Linked DNA regions of Struthio camelus. The protein of the gene in region 2 purifies or fractionates together with the protein of the main gene of each other region. This does not show direct contact. Links are inferred from orthologs where the notes say so. Each region holds a gene or a part of one and is shown on either strand. Other genes may lie near its edges. The genes, in order: MTMR1 and SBF1.

The links.
Region 1: the proteins of SBF1 (region 2) and MTMR1 purify together in Homo sapiens (affinity purification with mass spectrometry; 4 studies listed by BioGRID and IntAct, with this or other methods). This does not show direct contact. The link is inferred for Struthio camelus from reciprocal best matches to the Homo sapiens genes SBF1 and MTMR1.

What each region holds. Positions count from the first base shown.
Region 1 is NC_090952.1:13,545,050-13,557,341, forward strand, and holds the start of MTMR1 (myotubularin-related protein 1), read right to left. Parts: upstream 5,526-12,292; 5' UTR 5,481-5,525; coding exon 5,374-5,480; intron 4,926-5,373; exon of another isoform or gene 4,826-4,925; coding exon of another isoform or gene 4,770-4,825; intron 2,736-4,769; coding exon 2,630-2,735; intron 1-2,629. Other genes in the region: MTM1 (myotubularin), read right to left, coding at 8,667-8,834, 11,242-11,418, 11,755-11,868. UniProt on the Homo sapiens protein: Lipid phosphatase that specifically dephosphorylates the D-3 position of phosphatidylinositol 3-phosphate, generating phosphatidylinositol. Could also dephosphorylate phosphatidylinositol 3,5-bisphosphate to produce phosphatidylinositol 5-phosphate.
Region 2 is NC_090942.1:788,088-800,249, reverse strand, and holds the start of SBF1 (myotubularin-related protein 5), read right to left. Parts: upstream 6,170-12,162; 5' UTR 6,075-6,169; coding exon 6,020-6,074; intron 5,412-6,019; exon of another isoform or gene 5,101-5,411; intron 1-5,100. UniProt on the Homo sapiens protein: Acts as an adapter for the phosphatase MTMR2 to regulate MTMR2 catalytic activity and subcellular location. Promotes the exchange of GDP to GTP, converting inactive GDP-bound Rab proteins into their active GTP-bound form.

The DNA.
Region 1 (12,292 bases), on a different chromosome or scaffold from region 2:
TCAGAGTCCACAGTTAAATCATGTTACACCAAGATTAGCAAGCAAGAGCTAGTTCTATGTTCTCCAGTATTGACTACTCTGTTTGTAGCCTCTTTGCTTCCTTTTGATTTTTTTCTCCCCAGATACATTCTGGTGAATTAAGTTTCTGAAATGAGTAACACAGAAGCCACCACGAGATAAAAGAATCTATATATTTACTTGTTTTTGCAAACATATTGATTGAAAATTTAAAAAAAAAAGATAAAACAAAAAAAGGACCTTTCTACTTGAAGCTTCTGAGTTGATGCAAGATATTCTCTAAATGCAACAACTGGATGTAAACAAAGGTAACCAAGACACAGAATATTGATCAAGTGTGCATTAAGAGGGAAAGACGTCTCAAATGAAACTGTACAAACGTGCATTTTGGAATATCTCTTTATGCATGAATTCCACATTAATAATGAAGTTAAAGACTTCCATATCAAGAACGTACACACATATTAAACAAGAGACAGAAAAATTTTCAGGAAAATTAGCTTCAGCATTAATTTCTTGAAATGCTTGGCAATGCCAATAACTTGATCGCTAATATTTTAAGTGGGATGATGAAAATAAAAATCTCTTCCATTGTTTCAAAACACCACAAGAAATAAACACTCTAAATATAGACATTAATCATCTGCCAAAAAGTACAAGATACAGCTGGATATATTACCCAAATTATGGGAGAAATCCATCGTAGTCTCACTGTGACATAAAGTCATACACAAATCCATATTACTTGGCGTGATTAGCAGTACTTTCTCAAAGAAGAAAACAGAACTGCTGAATAATTAAAGTCTTTGAAGGTCTAGTATCTACACATGAAAATGTATTTAGCATCTTCCTGCATTTTTCTTAGTTTTAGCTGGTGTCCAGGAGTTTTATTCCCCTCTTTCCTACGTATTAGGGTTTGGTGGTTTTTCTTAACACTGAGTGTGCAGCGGTGAAGAGATCTTCTGGAAATATGTAAACCCATCATGTCAGTGGTACGGCCTAAGCAACTGATAGCAGCACTGAACTTCTGCAGAAGCTAAGTGCAAAGGAAATCCTTTCCTAAAGCACAATACACTACAACACACCCATCCTGAATGTAAAAGGCAAAAAATTCCATGGTATTATACACAAATATAGGAGTTTAAAATCATACCAATGAAAAAAGCTAAATACAATTTATTCACAAAAAATTTGGAATTCCAAAAGGTTCAACCCTTTTCTTTCATTTCTAAGAAAGAGAGAATAAAACAGAGTTAAAAGTTTTTAATTAGGCCTCAAAAGATTTATTCCTCTTAAGTAACATCCAAAACGAGAGAAGCAGATTATTTAGAATAAAAAAGCACTCTCTACTCCAGAGGAACGCATTATGACTCAGAAGATAAACTCAATACCAAACTTAAGAGTTTACTAAAATGAAGTCCTTGATCTACAGGGCAAAAACAACATAGGCAGCTGTAACGCAAGGTTTCCCACAATGTTTTATCAAAGACATTAGCCTTGACCGAGAGCAGGCACTTGCAATTCAGCTGCCATAGCATGGAAGAGCTACCCTTTTTTACGAGCATAAGCTGCTGACTGTGCCAATATAGTGACAATCTCTGTGAGGTGAATTCTTAAACAGACTAAGATCAAATACACTTAGTGGATTCATCTTCAGGCTGGAGCTGAATTTGACCTGCAATCGCAGAAGTCAAAATACGCCCTCTCTAGACAACATCCAAACTTTTCAAACACAGAGAGCTTAGTAAATAATTATACCCTAGTTAAAAGCCGAAGACACAAATTTTATTTGCCCATTTTGCATGAAGATCATAAAACGATAGGTCAACACTAGGAAGAAAAAGGATAGTACATTTTGTGGTCTAAATAATAGCAGCCTGGGTTTCTTAAAGGGACTTGAAACGCAGGTGAGACTTCTGCCCATTTATAAGAGGAGGAAAACTGATGATGCTCTACTCTTGATAGTTCCAGGCTGGCTTTCTGCATATACAGCAAACAGTAAAAGAGCCTGAAAGAGGACGGGTAAAAAACGTAACGAATCCTATCAGGTTAACCATACTGCACAATATTACCTCAGTGATAGAAATGTTGCTGGGAGGGTAAGAAAAAAAGGTACGCTCTTTGGTTTTGGTGTTAACTTGTCTGTCTCTGGTGAAATCCCTTATATAAGGCAAAAAAGAAGCCATATTGTTCTTTGCAGAGTAGCAAAGACATTCTTTTTTTGGTGAAATCTGAAAAGCTAAATTGTACCGTGCATCATTTAGAATAAAGAAAACATTTCAATCTCCAGTTATTAATCTATCTTACTGAAAACTTCTATGTAATAATGCAAAGGAACAACAACTCACTTTTGCTGTTTTATGTAAAATATTGACTTTTAATTTTCTCTATTTTATTTTATTCTGTAGAATTCAATGCCACTACTCTAGACTATGCACGTAAGCAGAGAACAGTTGCTAAAGATTCCTAAACGTCATGAAACGCTTCTAGTTTTGGAACATTCACATATCACTTACGTACTTACCACCCGACAATCAAGGTAGCAAGGAATTTCCTGATCATTCCCTCCTTTAACATAAATAAGCCAATCTGCACCCCTCAGGTCACTTACCCTGTAGTCTCTGGACACTCCTTCTGATGGGACAGACCCTGAAATCTGACTAGAAATGGTTGCAGCTATCAGCTGTTTACACCATTCAACATGTGATCCAGTAGGGCTACAAAAACAGAATATTTCAAATTATTTAGCAATAACTCAAAATTTTTGTTGACGACAGTATACCAACTGAGCATAACTAAAGAACAAGACCATAAATGATCACTAAGGTCATAAAAATCAGCTTTCTGATTTTTACGATGTCAGTAGGCAGAACACAACTATTTTGCTGATCAAATTAGAGAAATCATTTAATTTTACTAGAACTTATTGAGGCATAGAGCTGTCAATAGGTCCAAAGTATGGCTAGGGTCCTAGAAACGTATAAAAATGTTGTCTCCTTACCCAGCGTAACTTGTTCAACATTGATACATATATATTTTTTTTCTTAAAGCCATACATGGAATGAATTTGATCATGTAATACTGTAAAAAAACTCCTTACTTTTCCCACTGTTGTTAGTCAAGAAATTCTCTTTAAAATATAACAACTCTGGGCTAATCTTTAAAAACGTAAGCTACTCTAGTGTTGTTTAGAAGTATTCTATGTAAGTAATATTACACATAGAAAATACATATTTTCTAAACAGCAATTTCTATTTAGCCATATTTCCTTTTGGTATTCATCAAATAATCTCAGAAAAATCTTTATGATGGGCCTTCCCATGCCACAGCAATGAATTCTGCAATGTGGCGTGTTCACAAGAAGCCTAAAGACAAGACATCTAACAGTAGAATTGTAATTAATTTGAGGTGATACATTTTGGGAGCACTTGGGACACTGAAGTGAACAACTACAACGCCATGAACATACACAACACAGAACAGCTACAACTGGGATGTTAAGAGGGTGTGATACTGGTATAAGATGACAAATTACAAATTAACTAGAGGTCTGGTCTTAACACATTGACTCTGCTAGGACAAGGTAGGTATGAATTGACCGTGCATGTAGCAAAAACAACAAATCACACCCGAAACAAAAAACTCCAAGAACTCTAACAACAAAAATTTTAATATTTTTCTCCCCACCTGCAAAACCCTGCTCAGTACCAGTTCATAAAATGTTTTTTGTTATTAAAATGTCTATTACATTCCTACTTGAACACAAATCTGAGGGCAGTGCTGAACTGGATTTCAGCTTCATTTAGAGAAACCTTCCCTCATGTTTTGCAAAAGAACGCAGAAGCTAGAAGTTTACAGTAATCCTTTTCTGATCTCCTTTACTTCTCCTTCCCTCATACTGCTGAATTTCTACTGTCTACTGGGTTGGCCAAAGTTTGTTTCCAGCTATGTATTTACTTCTTATTTTTGAAAAAGATTTATTTTTACTGTAACTTGTTTTCACTAGGAATCACTAGATAAACAGTTAACATGACTAGGAAAACTAATGTGAAAGCGCTTACACACCCTGTGATCAGTGTACTCATACCAATATGGCATTATTACAATCTGTGAAGTGGGAAACATACCAGTATATATCTTTTCATTCTAGTTTATCCATCATCATGCACACTAGTTTATCCTGGTACAGCCATAATGGTAAATAAATAAATTACATTATAATACACCATCATTATAACTTTTCTAGGGTGTAACAAGAAGATCAGAAGGAGAGAAAGAGAAGGTGAAAATTAAGAGGGAAGATGAAAAAGTACATTAGCAAGGAACAAAAATATGGAAAACTTAGTGACAGAAGACGGACATCTGATTTACACCTTCACTAGAGCCACGTGAAACACCTGGCTTCTCCTAACAGGAAAGCGAGCGAAGATGGAGAAATATGGAGAGTGGAATGTGGTACCAACTCTTAAATAAAATATGTTTTCTTTTTGCTTAAATTAGGCGACGTTTCAGTTTGCTTCTAATCCTCGTTTAAGGATTTTTAAATTAAACTCTGAAGGCTGTCTCCAAAGAGAAATTTCTACATAAGAAGTTACTCTAATCTTTAGGTGCTCTGAGTTAGATACAGTAACACCTGGCACCAGACTCCTGAGCAGGTATTTACTGGCGAAACCCCCCAACCTGAAGCCAACAGAAAACCCAACTTGCACCGAGCGCGGAAGACCTACACATCCGCAAAAGAACCGACCTACCGCTGGGGTCGAAAAACGCCTGATTTAAGGCCCTTATCCATCTGTAGATGAAACATACACTTGCACTTCAGAAACAAAAAATTAAAATACTTCTAAACCCTGAGAACGGTCTCGTTTGACATAACGAAGATAAGTCAAAGTACTCCCGAAAAAAAAACCCTAACCAAAATCCTGAAGGCAGCCTCACTCTGCACAAAAACAATGACGCCAATCACACACCAAAAAAAACCAAACAAACCCGACCTACAGTACCGCAAGCAGGAAACTTTTACAAGAACCAGCTCACTCGCAGAGGAAAATCCGCCCTGTGCTTGCGTGGTTGTTTTAAAAAAAACAAAGAAAGAAAAAAAAAACCGGATTTTCGGTTACCAAACGGCGTCATCGGCTGAGGGAGCCTGGTAGCGCCGCCAGCCTCGGCGGGGCCGCTGGAAGCGCCCGCGGCCGCTCCATCTTCAGCGATGCTTCCAGCTCCCGAGGAGGCGGCGGGAGGCCGCCGCCGCCGCCCAGGCCGGGGCGCGCAGGGGCGCGGAGCCGCCGCCGCCGCCCGCCGCCCCCACCCGCAGCGCCCCGCGCCGGGCCGGGCCGGGCCGCCGCCGCCGCTCACCTGTCCAGCGTCTCGGCGCTGGCCTGCCGCGGCCCCGCCGCCCGCACGGCTCGCCGGCTCACGCCGCCGCCCTCCAGGGCCGGCCCGGCCGCCGCCGCCCACTCCATGCTGCCGGCACCGGGGCTGGCTGGCCCGCTCGCCCTGCTGCAACCGGCGGGTCCGGTCCGGCCCGGCCCGGCCCGCGCGGGCCCCGGCCGCGGCCCGAGCTGTCACCTGGCGGCGGCGGCGACGCTGCTACCCACAGGCCTCCGCGGCGCCGCGAGGGCGGCAGCGGCCCCGCGCGGCGGGGGAGGGCGGCGCCGCCGGGCCGGGCCGGGCCTCAGCGGCGGCGCGCGGAGGGCGCCGGGCGGGGGCTGCCCCGCCGCGCGGGACCGGCCGCGCCTCGGCCCCCGACGCGGCGCCGACGGGGAGCGAGCGACTCCTCCGCAGCGACGAAGGAGCCGAGCGCTTTTCCGGTGGCGGAAGGGCGCCCGCCCGCGGGCCTGGCGGGGGCGGAGGGCGGGGGGCCGGCGGCGCCGCCGCCGCTTGTCAGGCTCGAGCTGCCAAACATCGCGACACGCTCGGAAAACCAGAAATAAAGAGTCAGCGCACCGCCGGCCCCGTCTGACAGGAGCCGCGGAGGGGGCGCACCGCGGGTGCCCAGCGGAGGGGCGCCACGCCAGGCATTCAGCGGCAGCTTTCGAAACAAGTAGCGAAGGCCCAGCGCCCCACGGGAGCAAAAACGCGGAAACGGGGAGGTCTGCACCTCAGTATTTCCCAGCAGGTGTCAGGCACCCGCAGCTTGGCACCCCAGTTCTGGCCCCCCCCCACACCCACCTTTCTCCTTCACCCCCTCAAACGCCTTCCAGTTTTTACGCTCTGCTACAACAGGAATAACTGCCCTTACCGAGTTACCGGCTACGCGCAGCGCACCCGACCGCGGCTGTGAAGGGGGCTGGGGCGGGGGGGCCCGGTACCGGCCCCGCCGCGGCGAGCGGGGACAGCTTCCTACCACCGGTGACCCCTGTACGCCAGCAGTCACAGTAACTGCACAGGCAGCACTTCCCAGAAAGAACACCAGCATTTTTCTAATTAATATCACAATTTTTAATAGGATTAAAACAAATATTTTATTCATTGACTTGAAAAAATCCAAGCGCACACATAGCTATGTTAGATTTTCAAAGAATGAAATTCAGCTGAACCGGTAATATGAAGAACAGTATATAGGCAATGAAGTGGGGAAAAAAAAATCCTTTCAAATGTTACACTTTCACAAATGCAATGGGCTATCAGGTAGCATTTACACAGTAAAAACTGTTAGATTTTCTGCACTCCTCCATACTGCTCAGAGATGACATCAGTGCACTCAACTGAGATACAGAAACTTCAAATATTTCAATAAAATTAGCTTTTTTTTTTCCTTTTTATAGGCCAGAAGCAAGTGGAAGGCAAATATACCAGAGTATGCCGTTTTCAAAACGTAGTAAAGTTAAAGTTTACCATTATCAATTGAGTATCATTCTTCATCAGATGCAACGCATCCCATTTAACATACCAAGATTTTGGGATTACAAGATTAAATGCTGTTACTTTGGAAACACTGAAAAACATCCAAGGGAGAACGAGATTTAGAGGACAAAAATAAGTGTGTATAAGTCATGTGCATTTAGAAAACACACACGCAGTATCTTCTGAACGTCCCTGAAAAAATAGTGCAATTCAGTGTATATACTGAATTAAAGAGGTGGTAAATCTATTTCTTTGAAAAAATACTGTTTCTAAAAATATTCAGGTGTCCTCTAAACTTTGACTTACTTTATGGAACTATAGCTTTAAATTTAGTTTCATAAGCAAAATATTTACACTTCATAAACCTGGAGAATTTCTAATAAACTATATTATATATACACTTGCACAAAACTTAAATTTATACATAATCCTATTATATTTTGCAGATCAAAACTCACATGTACAATAATTTACAATGATCGAAGCCTCAAGCATCAAAACCTTTCCTTTAAAATAACAATATTAGAGTCCTCTACATATTCTGAATGGCAAGATTTCCTGGATTGCCTGAATATCATTAAAATTCTGAGAATATGCAAAACATTAATTACATATCAAGTAGCAAGGTTTGTGCAGTCATAAGTGCTTGCAACTATTAAAAATACCTGAAAGGAGCAAATTAGAAAGGTTTACAAGAAGCCTCTGAAATGAAGGCTTCAAGCCAGAATTCACTGAAAGATTCAATGTAAGTGCACATACTATATGCAAATCCTGTATACTGAAGTCCCTTTAAATACTTAAGAATAAATTCATTAACCAAAGCTAAATATACATTAAACAGTAAGCTATATATTTATAAGTTTAACAGTATTTGTAACCGAGAATTTTTGCCTACTTTGGTATAAAAGCTGCTCTAAATAGGCACATTTAGTTTTAGAAGCCATACACAAGCTTTAAGACAATTGCTCTTGTTGGATATTTAAGCAACGTCCCTGTGGGTCTTTTTTAAATTATATAAGCTTTTTTAGGAAACCATTCTTATTCTGTAAGAATCCACAGAACCAATACAGCCAACACTGATAATCTGTAGTATACTGTAAGGCTCAGCAGTTAACCAAAATATGACTTCTCAGAATCCAGTTCAATCTGCATGTTTAAAAAATAAAAATTAGATTTTTCTTGGATTGATACCTACTGAGCAATCTGAACTGTTTACTTAGAAGTATAGAGAAATTCCTTCCACGTTTTCATTTAAAACAGAAATTGGGATCCTCAGGTAACTAGAACATTTCAACACTTCCGTTTGAAATCTTAAGATATAAATTATTTTTGTCTCAAGGCCACAGTCTTATTCCTAAAAGGATTACACACATACCTAATTTTACACAATGTGAATATTCCTATTGACATTAGCATGTTTATTCACAACATGTAAGATCAAGCATGAATTTCCTTACAGGAATATGACCTAAGTGTCATAAACTAAAGCATTCTTAGAAAAAACAATAAATCAATTTCATTTTAATTGTACCAGACTTTCCAAAATAAGTCTAAGCACTCCATAACTAGAAGTTGGTTATTAACATTCCCAATCCACAGGTTCCGAAAGGCACATATTTAAAGAGTTGGTTTTGTGTGTTTTTAAGTCCTCCTTAAATGAAGGCAGTCTAAAATATTTTGTGTTAGGACACAATCCAATGTCACAATCCAATGTAAGGCATTAAAACATTTGTCTTTATACTACGCCTCCTTGTTAATCACCTCTCTTGCTATTACACTGTAGAAAGAAGCCAACATTTTCTTCAAAAATGTGTTTGTACTTGGGACATCATTTGCGAGGAAGATGCTGATGAGGCTGATGAATTGGGTATTTTAGAATTATTTGTGATCTGTAGTTCTTCAAGTCTCCTCATATAATCATCACGTAATGCAAGGAGCTCCATGTAACGCTGCTCCACTGGATTTGGCTGCTAGAAAGAGACCCAAATTAGTCTTTTATCATTTTAGTCTAGCTACTTCCATACAGTTAGGGTTCCATCCCATACTTGCTATTTCTGACATATCTAACAAGGGGTAGCCAAATAGAAATATCTATTTCTACAATGCAAGAGCATTATATTTGAGCCCTCTGTGTCAAATTTTTGTGATCCAAAAAAAAGCTTGCTTCACATAAAATAGTTCTTCCTTCCTCAAAAAAAAAAAAAAAAAAATCAATCCACCAGCACGACTTGTTCCTGAAGCATACAGATTGTTTTCTTATTACCTAGTATCCTGTTCAAAATAGGTATGAACACCTAGTCTTCAGCTTTTCTCTTCTTATGAGCAGATTAAATTCTAGAGGTTAGATGCCTCACCTTCTCTCTAAAAACAGTTTAGCCGGACTGGTGATTTTAGCTACGCTGATCAGACTAAGATAAAATCTATGCCTTCAGATTAAATAACTTCCGGTACTGATGGTGTTTCAGATTTCAATAGCGACTTTGCAACTATGTATAAATAAATCAAATGCAATACTTTTTATTAGTGAAATCCACAAGTAAACTTGAATGTCTTTAAAAGAAGTCAATGCTGTAGCTTTCAGAAGATTATTCACATCAAGAGCAGCTTAACTATTTCTATTCAACTTAGATTTCTTTTCACAGATAGACAGAATGGAGAAGAAACGTTACAAGTGTCCCAGACAGATACAGAGCCTTAAGTTACCGTCAGCTGTTTTCTCTCTCTCAAGGAGCTGCTGCTGTTTCACACAGAAGTGCTTGTAGCTTAATTTTATCAGCAGTACAGTTTCAGCAGCAAACTTAAACCCTCTACCAGTCCAAAAAACAGGTAAACCAATGCCTTTTAGGCACACCTTTCAATATGAGCCTCAGCTAAGGCAGGCAACGAATATGGATCCAACTTCTACAGCTGCTTCAATGATTGAATGTAGTAAGATAACTGGAGATGTAAGGTTAATGAGGTTGCAAGTAACAGACCAGATTCTTCCTTAGTCCAAGTCTGACGCCCAACATGCTTCTAAGTAATGACACTAAGTAAGGTCCATCCCAAAAAGTTGTTTCAGGCCATGGGTCAGCCTATTTAGTCACTTAAAAACATAATGCTTCATCTTCACTTATGTGCAACAGAAGAAATCTCACTGAATTTTTTATGTATAAAAATGGTGGAAAAACAAAGGACCCAAATTTGGCAGAAGCAACAGAAGACTGTCACATGGATTTGCATTTCTAAATGGAAGCTTCTACTGGCAAACACCTGTCCTGAAAAATGGCAAAGAGCATTTTAAAGCAGTTTTACAACTAATCTGCATGCCCTACAATCCTTCACCTTCTAAAAGAAATCTTTGGTTTCACCTCTTGCAAAATGCCACCATCTTTCACATCAAGCAACAAAAGCTTTAAAATGAGAACTTCAAATTAAAACTGGCAACATACTTGTAAGAAAATAGAGTATACTGTCTGGATTTCTTCCAGCCTCTAGAGCTCTGTAAACATTGCAGGAGAGCAACTACAGAAAAGGAACTGCATTGCTTGGTAACTCCCAATTCATTCCAGGGCCTGGACTGTGAACACCGTTTCTGTCAAGGAAATTGCTCCTCTTTCTTCTTCTCCTACTCAGAACTCTACAACTTATTAAGAAGGATAAATAAGTCTTTGTATGCTGTATCTTTACATGCTACGCTGCCTAGATTTTTAGCAAGTTTGTAACAAAAAAAAAAAAAAACAAGTGCCCGTATATCAATTAAAAATTAAAATGCACAAAACTGAACTATTTATTTGATAAAAGCTGCCCTGGGTTTCCAATCTTATCCACTTGTCTTATTAAGAAGAGAATTCATCCAGTGCTTACTCTGTGTAAACAATTCAGGTCCAAGTTCTAGCAAAAAAAAAAAAAACACCTTGCCATAAGCTACCAATACAAATGGCATTCTCAGTTATCCTAAGAACACTGCACAGATCATCCTAACTTGTAAAAGATTTTTTACATTATCCTGGAAAAAGGAGACATATTAGGCAAATGTGACAAGTGTGCTTGTGATGCCAATACTAACTCTCCAGTGATCAGTAAACTATTTCTCAGCATTGTTATTCATCTTTTCGTATCATTAAATGCTCTTAAAAATGCCCCTCCCCTCCCCCGGAGCAGTTCTCAAAGATGACTTCATACTAAGCAGTGAAATAAGCTCAATGTTCTGGAAAAGAGTTGGGCGATGTCAGAGAATGGGACCAAATAATCATTTTCACATTTCTCTCCTATCCTCACAAATATATTAAGAAATCCAAACAGATTACAGGTATTAACCTACAAGTTACACTCATGAAATATAATCCTATTTCCAAAGTCTAAAAGCCTTTCATACATTTTAGATGGTTCACTTACTTGTTGCCGAATTCTTGGGTTCCATCTGATGTAATAATTGACCCAAAGTTCTAGGTGACGCATACTGGCTACTGGATAGAGTGCTCGATTTAGCTCTTTAGTATAAAAAGGATTGGTGAATTTAGATTTTTCACTGTTTATCAAAGACCACAATGACAATGTTTTCTCAGTCACTTTCTAAAATGAAAATGAAACACAAACTGTAAACATTCACACTGAATTAGCAAGTCTATCACAGAAGCCAGGGTTACATTCTGAAAATAATAGACCTCTGATTCAAATAGACGCATAATAAGTTACTGTATTAGAAATATTCCAAAAATAGTTCTTGAAGAGTGTTTTAGTGATTGCAGAGTCTTTAAGCTACCAAAACCAAACAAGTTACTGTTCAACTACCCCACAACCAGGAAAAAGACAGTTCAAAAACACTGTGGCACAAGGAATGTAACTGAAGCTTTCTGTAATCATCTAGAGTCAAGACAGCAATGCAATTAAACAATCAGTTTGACTGACCTCTTTTTCTCTAACAGATTCACTGTTGTACAAGAAAGTACCAAACCGGCAGCTGTACAAGTGATCCAGGATTGTAATCAAGAACTGCTCATTGAATTCAAAGGCTGTAGGAAACTAGCACAAAAAGACAAGTTTTCTTTACATTGTAGAAACAGAGATGTACATGCCCTGGTTAAGGGGCTAAAAAAGGCATTTAGAAGCCTAGATGCATCTAAAAAAATGAGTTTTAAGATCATATTTTATATGTACTTTATAACAGAGTAAACCTTCAGATATCATAGTGTTCAATTGCCTCAAACTAGTTATTGACAAGAATTTCTACCCCCTCAAAAATTATATCTTTAAACTCCCCCTTCCACCCCAAAGCAAAACTCAGTGGTTACAGTTCCGTTGGTATTAGTCAGCCAGAACATTTCCCCTAACAACATATGTAGATTGCACTCTTAATACTGCAATGCCATACAGGAAGATAAGGGTTTAGTTCCTAATTCTAGGCCCCAAAAGTACTAGGTTTGCTACTCTCGTTACTTACTGAAAA
Region 2 (12,162 bases):
GCCATTAGCACCAACTGGAGCTATTTCAATGTATATGGTTTCATCACTAGATGCGCGTTACAATGAGCAAGTCTCTGAGTCAAACCTATGAGTCACCTTGGCCAGGTTCATGCACAACAGAATGAAGCATATTTTTATTGCCAGTTACAATTTCCTCCCACCAGCAAGGGCTACACGGACATCCAGCAGCAGTAAAGAATCTAGCAGAATGACAGGCTGAAAATCTACTTAAAACACTGGTGGTCTCTTAGGGCGAGACAGTAAAAAAAGAGATAAGCTGTGGGAGCTTCCCTCTCCCCAGTAGGTTTACTTCAGCTTCTCTGGCGGTAACGTTAGCCAATGGAGCTTCGCTCCAGGCACTGGCTGCACAGTGAAAGCTTGAGAGACAGAGAGGAGTGCTGCACGCATTGCACAGAGGAATGCAGAACTGCATTTTTATCTACTTTAACCTCTTGCATCACCAGAAGCTGTTTCAAAGATTTCACAGAAAGACGACGGCAACAAACACTGAGGCAGTTTGCCTCTCAACACCTGCCCATAACTCCTACAGAAGCTCAAAAATGAAAATTACATGTCCAAATTTGACCAAGGCCCGACTGCAGGAGCAGCAAGACGTTCTGAAAGAACTAAACTTCAGTACGGTAAGAGTAATCTAAATCCAGCAGGACATAACAGTCTGGATTACTGAAAGGAAATACAAAGAGCTTAGTAGCTCAACTGAGGTCTTCAGGTCTCTGCACAGTCTTATCACCCTCCATAGCAGCCATCTACCACGCTCACCCCACCCAGAAAAACTGTACCCTTCTCAACCTTTTCATTCCTTTGGTGGCAACTGCCATCTGCCTTTTTGGATCAGGCTACAATAGGTGTGGCAGGAGGGTTTCCATCCATCAGAGCCCTAATGCACCCATAAAATTAACCTGATCACAAATCTTCCTTACATAGACTACCTGCAGATTTACTCTGCAATGACTTTTGTGAATGAGAATTAAACAAATCCTTTTAGGCACAAAAGCAAACAGGAACACAAGTTCAGAGGGCTTAAGCAACAACCTGAACAACTGTTATGGAAAAGTATTAGGATAGGTAAGAATAAACACACGCAAATTAACAATTCTGGTTTAGAGCTAGCCCTTTAAATTAAGATTTTTTTCCTCTAGTGTCAAGCCCTGGAATCTGAATTTTGCCTTCCCACTCCAACAGCTAAAGAGGCCACCAAAAACCAAGGTACAGAACATGCTTATGGAAAATAGTGCGTATAAAGAGCGTTAGGGCAAGACGTTTAGAAGGGCAGTTGCAAATTCGGACACAGATAGAAGCAGCAGTAGGATCTTAAAGGTTTATTCTGAAATTTGTGTTTTCTAAATCATGAGCTCCCACAAAGAAAGGGCCATACCTCACCCAGTGCCCCACACAGCAAAATTAAGACTGGCCTTCATCCATGTTAAGCATACTTTGAAATTGAGCTATTCTTTCAAAGATCTGGACTCTTAAAAAAGGCCACCAGGGACACACAGGGAAAAATCTCTCAGGTCCAGGGGGTAAAAGCAGCCAGAAGTCCTGGCTTTGCTAGGCAGCCCTTTGTCAGCAACAACAGAACTATAAGAGCCAAGAGATTTAAAAACATCCATTTACAGAGAATAACGTGAACAATCATGACACAATACGACAAACGTTCACATACGAAAAGATCCATTTCCTTCTGCTGGGGCATATTCGCTCAAATACATTTATTTGGGGTCTCTGAAGCATACAAGCAGTCTCCCGTGATACTAAACTCTACAGTAGATCAAACATGCAGATGCAGAGATACTGAAAACTGGCTCAGCACACAGAGCAGCTGCGGCCTGCAGTCACAACTGACTGGAGCGTTTGGAAGTCAGCATCAGGCAGCCACAGCTTCTGGTGAGACAATTCAGTCCATTGTAACGCTTCAGGATTCTGCTTCACTGAACACAATCCCTGCCTGACAAAGAGGCAGAAATCCAACGGCTCGGCACATTAGCGTGTGGCTTGCAAAATTAGAGACTTCACTGAGCTAGAGGAAAAGCAGCTGAATCTTTGCCTGCTGGCCTAGTTCATAATCACATCGTCCAACTTGAAGATCTCACACTGTACCACGGAGAAGTTAGTTTCACATTCAAACGTGTTTCTTGAAACGGTTAACAATCATTTCACTCTTACTTCCAGATGAGAAGAACGCCATTAGACTCAGTGTTTTTAGAGGCCATCGTGACTTTGCATCACAAGATTGTATGTCAAGTGGAAGAGCAGGCCTCTCCAGAAAGATAATGCTCTCCACCAGGAACAGATGCTGACTGTAAACCTAAACAAACATTCTGAACATGCCAGACTGCACCATTGCCCCATCTCTAGTCTCATGCTGGCTCTGCCAAACCCCGTTTCCTGCCTCCTCCTCGAGAATACTGAGCTGCTTTCTCAAGCTTTCATTTTTGTTCCCATGAAACTGACTGCACTGGGCTACCTTAACACCTCTGGAAATCACGCAGAGCTACCTCAAGCTCCACCATCCTAACACACCTTCTGCTTTCACTGTCCCCAACCACAAATCTGTCCCTGGCTGACCACTAATCCTATTAATATAGGACATTCTCGGAAACCACGGCACTTCACTGCATGCAAACTTGCCTCCTGTGTCTCTGTTAAATAGACACATCTGGAATCCACACAGAACAGAGCCCCCTCCCTCCCTCCCTGCTTGAGCGATCCCATCTAATTTTTTCATAGCTCAAACCCTCAAAGGCCTTTCTGTGATAGATTCTCCCAGCAGCGCCATGCGCTCCGTTTTGTTTACGGTTGGCAGGGAGGTGCCTCCATTGGCCTGGGAAGCAGCTTGTCACGCAGGTTACAGCTCTGTCAAGACTAACCCAACCAGTAAAGCAATTAGTCACTCACAGATGAGAGAAGCATGCCCTCCCTTCAAACGTTATCTAAGCTCCCTTTAGGGAGGAGGAACGTGAAAACAGAACAACAGGAAGTGGGGAATAAACGCTGCCAGATTGACCCCCAAAATCAAGTAATCAGTCACAAAGAAATCAAGCAACCTTTGCATCATTAGCAGACTGATCCTCTCGAGTTCTCATGAGGGCTTAGCAATTTGTTTAAACGCAAGCGTTGCTTCTGAACATCTCATACTTCAGTCTTCACATAGCTTGGGAAAGCACTTGGGCGCTTGCAAACTGGGATGCAAAGGCTTTTTGCTTTAGGTGTCACTGGCCAGAACAGCCATTTGCAAGGTTTCAGGCAAGTTTCATTCTTGTTCTTTGGTTGAGAGTGTGCAACTGCCCTGATTCTTGAATACTTCACTCTGTTGAGGTAACTTTTTCCTCAGTGATCTGAACAGCAAGAAAATGCAAGTTCGCCAGGGGAAGTTTCTCAGGCTCTCTTGGACACTATCTCCTTCGAATCCGGTAGCCTTGACATGCTTAAGGCACGTGACTGTTTGATGCCTGAGTGCAACCAAGATAGAATTCAGCACCTCCCGCCATGGACTATCTGACTGAGAGCGATGCTAAGAAATTGCCAACAGCCAGAAGCAAAAAGCACACCTGACTTGTATAAAAATGGAGTAGACTACAGCCATGTATTATCCCAGACAACCATCCTCAATCACAAAACCTCATTGCAAAGTGACCCCCGAGGACTCCAAGTCCCCAGCGGCAGCGCCAAAATACCAAGCTGAGAATTCCATCGTTTGGCCTACGGAAGCGGCGGCAGCAGCAAGGTCGGGAAGCAAGTGTCAAACCTCGGACCCCGCACACCTCCAGCCTCACTTCACTAAGAATTCTGTTCACCTGAACAACAATTTCGGAAGTTTTCTGCAACTTACAATCACATCACTGATGAGGAGACAACACTACTATAGTCTAAAAGTACTTTAGAGGGAGCAAAGCTGATGATAATATGCCCGCATCTTCTGGTTTGAGGATCTCTCAAATCCAAGGCCAGAAGCTGAAACTAGGCATAAAACACGCTTTTAAGTGGGACAGTTAATTTCTGGGACAAGGTCCTCAGCTGGTGGTGCTTTTTTATACTACCAAAAAAAAACCACTAATGATTTTCAGGTCAAGACTGGATGTTTTGTCAAGATCTGTACCAGCTCAATTACAAATGAGTTCAGGACAGCTCTGTGGCCTATATTACATGCATCAGATTTTTTTTTTTTTTAAGTGAATACTTAAGTCAGAAGAATATAATTAATCGCAAGTTCTTTCCTTTCTAATGTCCCACTCAAATCAACCACTAAACCCCACAGCACTGTCCGTCTTCCCAGAACCAGTCTCAAATGACACCAAGGGTGCATGGCATTTATACATCCCTTTTTCCCTTCTGAAACCCAGCTTTCCAAAACTTAAGACAAGGAACACACGATCAAAACGCTCACCTGTTCTACAAGCCCCGCCACATCTGATCAGCTAGTAACTGTTAGAAACCACCACCAGTTTTATGCTGCATATATGAGTAGCTACTATAATTCCATGAGGGAGGCTGAGCTGCGCAAAGGATGCGGAGCAAAACGTTTAGAAGCCCAAGAGACAAGGCGCAGAAATCAGTCAAAGGTGGTCCAGCTGCAAATCATCTTCCCAGTCTCCTGTTAATTTCTACCGAGATCACAGCAGCTGTTCTCAGGCAACACAGGCCTGGGCTGACCATCGTTTGACAGATCTCAAAGGCGCACACATCCAACCTGGAGACGGCACGAGGACGCTCTGGGTAAAAAGAGTTCCTTCTCCTACACCAGGACAAAACCACTGTCCGATACTACAGCATGCTGTAATATCAGGGGAATGCATCCGAAATAAACCCCACTCCGTGTGATCAGACGCAACTCACAAAGACACCGAAACTCTTTACCAGGCTTTCTACTCTCCAGACCAAACTCTGGAATTGCTCTCCTGAAACTGCCCTTTCAGCGCAGCTCTACTGCGCAATGTAGTACCACTCTGCACTACCCAAATGCTTCCCCTGGTCCCGTAAGGGGCGATCGGTTTGCTCTGGAACAAAAGACAGACAAGATCGATGATCAGTGTGGAAATCCTGAAGCGTGTCAGCACCCAACTTCGCAAACACTTACATCCACAGAGCTAGGCGGCCGCTGAGAATTTCAGCTAAGCTCTCAGCCTCAACAACTTCCTGTAATAATCAAAACCGCAGGGTAATGAGACACGGGGTGCGTGAAAGAGGATTCCCTTCTATCAGTCCTAACAAGTTCGGTCAACGGTCTCCTGCTCGGGGAACACGCGGTGCTCAGACGCTCTCAGCGCAGGTTCTGTGAAGCGTTCCTCGTGTCGCACAGGCTCCCGTAAAACGCTCCTCGTTCTGTGCAGGCTTAACCTTGTTTCCGAGGCCGACAGAAGCTCACTCCCACCAGGAACAGCTAAACGCCAGAGGTGAGAAGAAAGCACCCCGGGAGGAGAGCCAACCCCCAGCGCCGAGGATAAGGACACGGGCAGGCCGAGGACAAAGGGACAACATCCCTGAGAACAGACCTGCCGAAAGGGAGCCTGGAAGGCGCGTGTCTCAGCGGAAAGCCCGCTCGGCGGCGAGGACGGAAGGCAGCGCTCCGCGCCTGAAGGCCACCCGCGGGCGTGGGGAGGGGGCGCCGCTTTCCGCCCTCCTGCGGCTCGGCCAGCGCCGCGCCGGCGAGGGCGGACACGCGCGGCACTGTCCCCCGCCGTGGACGCGGCTCGCGCCGCCAAGGGGGCGACCGCGACGCTTCAGGGTCGCGCGCGAGGAGCCGCCGGCCGCCGCCGCCCCACGCGCGACGCGGGCGCGCGAGCCCCGCCGCGGGAGCGCGCGGGGGGGGGGGAGCGCAGGGGGCGCCCGGCCCCACGCGCGCGTGGCAACGCGGGGGCCCCTCCCCCCTCCCCGCCGTGCGCGCGTGGCGGCGGCGCCAACGGCCGCGCGCGGCGCCCCTCCCCCCCCCCCGCGGGTGACAGCGGGTCGCGCCCCCCACCCCCACCGGCGGCGGCGGCGGCCTCGCCCCGCGCGCCCTCACCGCGCTTGTCCATCTCGTAGCCCACGAGGACGAAGTAGTCGGCGAGGCGGGCCATGGCGAGGCCGGGCGCGCCCCCAGTCGCGCCGCGTTCATAGCCCCGCGGCGCCCGCGGCCCTCCCCGCGCGGCGGCGCACCCCCGCGCCCGCCGCCATCTTGGCCGCCTCGCACGGCCCGGCCCGGCCGCGCCCGCACTGCGCCTGCGCCGCCGCCGCCGCCGCCGCCGCCGGGGGCGGGCCGCCGCCGCCCCATTGGGCGCGCCGCGAGGGGGCGGGGATAGGGGGCGGGGCTGGTGGCCGGGGGCGGGGCGGGGCTGGCCGTGGGGGCGGAGCCAAGGCGGCTCCGCCCCCCCCCGGTCCCGTAGGGGCGGCCCCCGGGTGCGCGGTGCTCTGCCGCCGCGGGGTGCAGCGTCCTGCCCGGGGTGCGCGGCCCCCCCCGCTCCGTGTGCATGCCCCCCCCGCCGCGATGTGCACGGCTCCCCGCTAGGCACGGCCTCTCCCCTCCCCCTGCGCACGGTCCCCCCGATTATTGGGCCCCTGGTGTGCACAGCGCCCCCCCCCAGTGTGCATGGATTCTCCCCCCCCCCCCGCTTGTATATGTCCCCCCCCACCATGCATGGCTTCCTTCAGCGGTGCACGCCCCACACCAGGTGTGCATTGCCCCCCCCCGAATGTGTGCAGCCCCCCCCCACGGCGCATGGCCCTCCCGCAGTGTGCATGGCCCCCCCAGATGCGCACAAACCCCATGGTGCATGGCCCCCCCCAGGTGCACACAGCCCCCGGGATGTGCATGGCCCTCCCCCCCCGGGCATGCACGGCCCCCACGGTGCATGGCCCCCCCCCCACCTCCCAGTGTGCACGGCCCCCCGGGTGTGCACGGCCCCCCACGGTGCATGGCCCCCCCCCCACCTCCCAGTGTGCATGGCTCCCCCGGGTTTTCACGGCCCCCCTAGGTGTGCACAGTCCCCCACGGTGCATGGCCCCCTCCCGCAATGTGCACAGTCCCCTGGCTGCTCATAGCCTCCTGCTGTGCCTGGGCGCCCTCCCCATTGTGCACACCGTCCCCTGGGTGTGCACAGCCCCCCACTGCGCATGCCCCTGTCAGGCATGCCCAGTCCCCCCACGTGTGCACAGCCCCCCCCGGTGCACGGCCCCTCCAGGTGCACACACCCCCATGGTGCATGGCCCCTCCTGCTGGGTGCATGGTCCCCCGTGGTGCATGATCTCCCTAGGTGTGCACAGCCCCCCATGGTACATGGCCCCAAAGATGTGCATACCCCCACGGTGCACGGCCCCCCTCAAGGCTGCACAGCCCCCCATGGTGCACACCCCCCCCCAGGTGCACACAGCCCCTCTAGTGCACAGCCCCCTTGCAGTGTGCACAGCCCCCATAGTGCATGCCCCTCCAAGGTGTGCACAGCCCCCTACAGTGCACGGTCCCCCACTATGCGTAGTTCCCCCAGATGTGAACAGACCCCTGGTGCACGGCCCCCCAGGTGCACACAGCCCCCTGGTGCACAGCCCCCTTGCAGTGTGCACAGCCCCCCTCGGTGCACGGTCCCCCCACAGTGTGCACAGCACCCCCCGGTGCACGGCCCCCCAGGTGCACACAGCCCCCTGGTGCACAGCCCCCTTGCAGTGGGCACAGCCCCCCACGGTGCACGGTCCCCCCACAGTGTGCACAGCACCCCCCGGTGCACGGCCCCCCACGTGCACACACCCCCATGGTGCACGGTCCCCTCATAGTGTGGACAGCCCCCCGCGGTGCATGACCCCTCTGGTGCATGGCCCCGCCGGTGCGCGGCCCCCCCATGCATGGCCCCCCAGGTGCGCAGAGCCCCCTCCCCGCTACGGCTGCGGCTGGGCCCGGGGGTGAGCGAGAGCCCCTTGCCAGACACGGCCCTGACCCCAGCCCCGCGCAGCGACCCGGTGCGGGGCCCAGGCACCCACGGCACGGCCAAACCCCCCACCAGCGGCACCCGCGCCCCGCAGCCCGGCCCCGGGTGGCTCCCGCTCGGAGGCTTTCCCCATCCCGAGCCCCCACTCGCCGGCCGGGAGCCGGGCCCTTCCCTGGGCAGGCGCGGAGCCGGCGCCGCCACGGCCAAGCCCCGTGAGCCGGGAGCCTCGCCGGAGGGAACGGAGCGCGGCCGGCGCACGGCGAGCGCCGGGAGGAGGATGGAACCGGGGAACCAGCCGAGGGCGGGATGTGCCGGCGCCGGGAGGCACGAGCCGGGGGCAGCCGGGACGGCACTGGGGGCTTGGCACTGGGAACAACGGCACCGGGAGGGATCGGCACTGGGAACGACGGCACCGGGAACGATGGCACCGGAGGGATCGGCATTAAAGCTAATATTCAAGCATCACTTCCTCCAGGCTCCGGACGGGTGCATCCCTCTGAGGAAGAAGTGCAGCAAAGCAGGCAGGAGACCTGCACGGATGAGCAAGGAACTCCTGACAAAACTCCAACAGAAGAATAAACTCTACAGAATGTGGAAAAGGGGACAGGCCACTTGGGAGGAGTATAGGGACGTTGTCAGAGTGTGCAGGACTGCAATGAGGAAGGCTAAGGGCCCATTTGCAATTAACTCTTGCAAGAGATGTCAAGGACAACAAGAAGGGCTTCTTCAAATACATCAGGAACAAAAGGAAGACTAGGGAAAATGTGGGCCCGCTGCTGAATGGGGCGGGGGCCCTGGTAACGAAGGATACGGAGAAGGCAGATTTACTGAATGCCTTCCTTGCTTCAGTCTTCGCTGCTAAGGCCAGTCCTCAGGAATTCCTGACCCTGGGGACAAGAGAGAACGTCTGGAGAAAGGAAGACTCTCCCTTGGTGCAGGAGGATCGGGTTCGAGATCATTTGTGCAAACTTGACATCCACAAATCCATGGGCCCCAATGGGATGCACCCGCGAGTGCAGAGGGAGCTGCTGGATGTTACTGCTAGGCCACTCTTGCTCATCTTTGAGAGGTCCTGGAGATGAGGAGAGGTGCCCGAGGACTGGAAGAAAGCAAACGTCACCCCAGTCTTCCAAAAGGGCAAGGAGGAGGAGCCAGGGAACTACAGGGTTGTCAGCCTCCCCTCCACCCCTGCAAAGGGGATGGAACGGCTCATCCTGGAGGTCCTCACTAAGCATCTGGAGGACAAGAAGGTGATCCGGAGTAGTCCGCACGGATTCACCAAAGGGAAATCATGCTTGACCAACCTGCTAGCCTCCTGTGATGGAAGGACTGGGTGGGTAGAGGAGGGCAGAGCAGTGGATGTTGTCTCCCTGGACTTCAGCAAGGCTTTTGACACCGTCTCCCCTCACATCCTCCTAGGTAAACTCAGGAAGTGTGGGTTGGATGAGTGGACGGCGAGGTGGATTGAGAACTGGCTGGATGGCCGAGCTGAGAGGGTTGTGGTCGGTGGTGCAGAGTCTGCTTGGAGGCCTGTAGCTAGCGGTGTCCCCCAGGGGTCAGTCGTGGGTCCAGTCTTGTTCAATGTGTTCATCAGTGACCTGGATGAAGGCGCAGAGTGCACCCTCAGCAAGGTTGCCGATGCTACTAAACTGGGGGGAGTGGCTGACACACCAGAAGACTGTGCTGCCATTCAGGGGGACGTGGACAGGCTGGAGAGCTGGGCGGAGAGGAACCTCATGCAGTTCCACAAAGGCAAGTGCAGGCTCCTGCCCCTGGGGGGAATAACCCCCATTGGCCCAGGACAGGCTGGGGGCTGACCTGCTGGAGAGCAGCTCTGCAGAGAAGGACCTGGGAGTGCTGGTGGACAACAAGTGAAGCATGAGGCAGCAATGTGCCCTTGTGGCCAAGAAGGCCAAAGGCATCCTGGGGTGCATTGGGCAGAGTGTTGGCAGCAGGTCGAGGGAGGTGATCCTGCCCCTCTCCTCAGCCCTGGGGAGGCCTCACGTGGAGTGCTGGGTCCAGTTCTGGGCTCCCCAGGACAGGAGAGACATGGAGCTACTGGAGAGAGCCCAGTGGAGGGCTACTGAGATGATGAAGGGCCTGGAGCATCTCTCCTAGGAGGAAAGGCTGAGAGGGCTGGGACTCTTCAGCCTGGAGAAGAAACGACTGGGAGGGGATCTCATCAATGTGTGCAAGTATCTGAAGGGGAGGGTGTCGAGAGGATGGGGCCAGTCTCTTCTGCGTGGTGCCCAGTGACAGGACAAGAGGCAACGGGCACAAACTGAAGCACAGGAAGTTCTGTCTGAGCATGAGGAGAAACTTCTTTCCTGTGAGGGTGACAGAGCACTGGCACTGGTTGCCCAGAGAGGTAGTGGAGTCTCCTTCCCTGGAGATCTTCAAAACCCGTGTGGATGTGATCCTGTGCAATGTGCTCTAGGTGACCCTGCTTGAGCAGGGGGTTGGACTGGCTGATCTCCAGAGGTCCCTGCCAACCTCAGCCCTTCTGTGAGATGGCCTGGACAGGGTCGGCACGGACAGGGATGGCCCCTGGCAGGGATGGGACCAACAGGACGGGACTAGTGCCGATGTCACCAAGATGGATGGCACCAGCAGAGATGGCCCCAGCAGGGATGGCAGCGACAGGGCCCCCCCAGCCATTATGTGGCTCCTGCTGGCCCGGCAGCCCCTCATCCCCCTTTTTCCCCAGACGCAGCTCGGCCGCTCAGCCCCACGTCCCTCACCCACCTCCGAAGCCATTCCTGGCCCCCGGCCCCTCGCCGGGGAGCTGTTCAGAGTCTCCGCGACGTTTTTCCCCCCTTTCCTCCGCTCCCCGGGGCCGGCGCCCCCATGGCAGGATGCTGCGTGCAGGCTGGGGCGCCCCCGACCTCCTGCCCCGGCTGCCTCCTCCCAGCACCTTCTCGCCGGTTCCCTTCGGCTGGAGCATCCGGACCGTCTCTCGGCCAGCAAGAGCTCGGTGTTGTGCACAAACACAACACTGCTGTGTTAAAAACAGCGTTTTTTCCCTTAAACACAGCCTGGCAATCACTAGCATGGGTTCAGTCTGAGCTTCGTCGCCAGGATGCTCGTTTCCGCGCTGCCCTGCAGCTCGGCCCACCGCCGTGTCACCCGCAAGCCTCACCGCCCCGCTCGCCGCCCCTTCCCCGCGCCCCGGGCTGAGCCGCGGACGCGAAGCCCCAGCACACAGCCGTCTGCCCCGGCAAAGCTCCTGCTTCTCCCTACTAAGGGGTATTAAAACCCCGGAAAATTGCTGTCCTGGCCCCTGACAAATAAGTTCAGGTTTAAAAACCTTAGGGCGGACTCAAGCGACCACAGTTTTGGAAGCCACTGCTCCCCGCGTCCCGCTGGCCCTGCCGCCGGCCCCGGCCCCGCCGCGTGTGCAGGTGCCAGCGCGACGACAGTTGCGTCGAGCACCGATGGCTTTGCTGTGTCCGGCCGTCCCAGCGCGGCCCCAGCTCCCGGCTCCGTGGCTTCCGCAGCTCCCGCGGCTCCGGGGCCGGGCCAAGGCGGGATGTGGACCTGCACCTCCGCAGCTGGCACGCTGCGGCACTCCGGTTACGGCCCGGGAGTTTTTCAGCGTTTCCTTCCCACCTTGCAGCAATTTGCTTGACAAATTGGGCGCAGCGAACAGAGGCAGCCAACAGACGCAGCAGTTTGTGCAGAAGGGCGCCAGAAGGCAAGAAGGCACCTTCATTTCCCATAGCACTGTGTCCTTCCCCGGGCATGGTCATGACACGCCACAGAGCACGTTCCCCCGTGGCTGCTGGAGGTGCTGCATCGGCTGTGGCTGAGGCTTCAACCCAGACAGACCCTCGGACAGCAGACGCAGCTCTGCAGGTGGCAGGCTGCAGGCAGTGCCTGGGGCCTCTCCGCAAGGCCTGGGCTGACAGTCAGCTCTCCTGCGTGAGGTGTGCTGTGCTTTATCACTTATATTGTCAGGTCAAGGAGTTATGGGAGGAAGTGAGTAGGCTGCGTAGCATCCGAGAAGATGAGCAGGAGATGGACAGGGCGTTCTCGGAGGCTGTGCAGCTCCAGGAGTCCCAGCCCCCACTGCAGCAGAGTTGTCGGAGGGCTCTGTACTGTGTGTAACGGTCCATCATAACACTGCTGAAGAGAGCTGGAAGCTGGTGACCTCTCGTAGAAGGAGAAAGGCTCTTGCTCCTCCTCAAGACTTACCCTTGAAGAACAAGTTTAGCACCCTCCAAGCCAAGGAGGAGCTGGGCATGGCTCC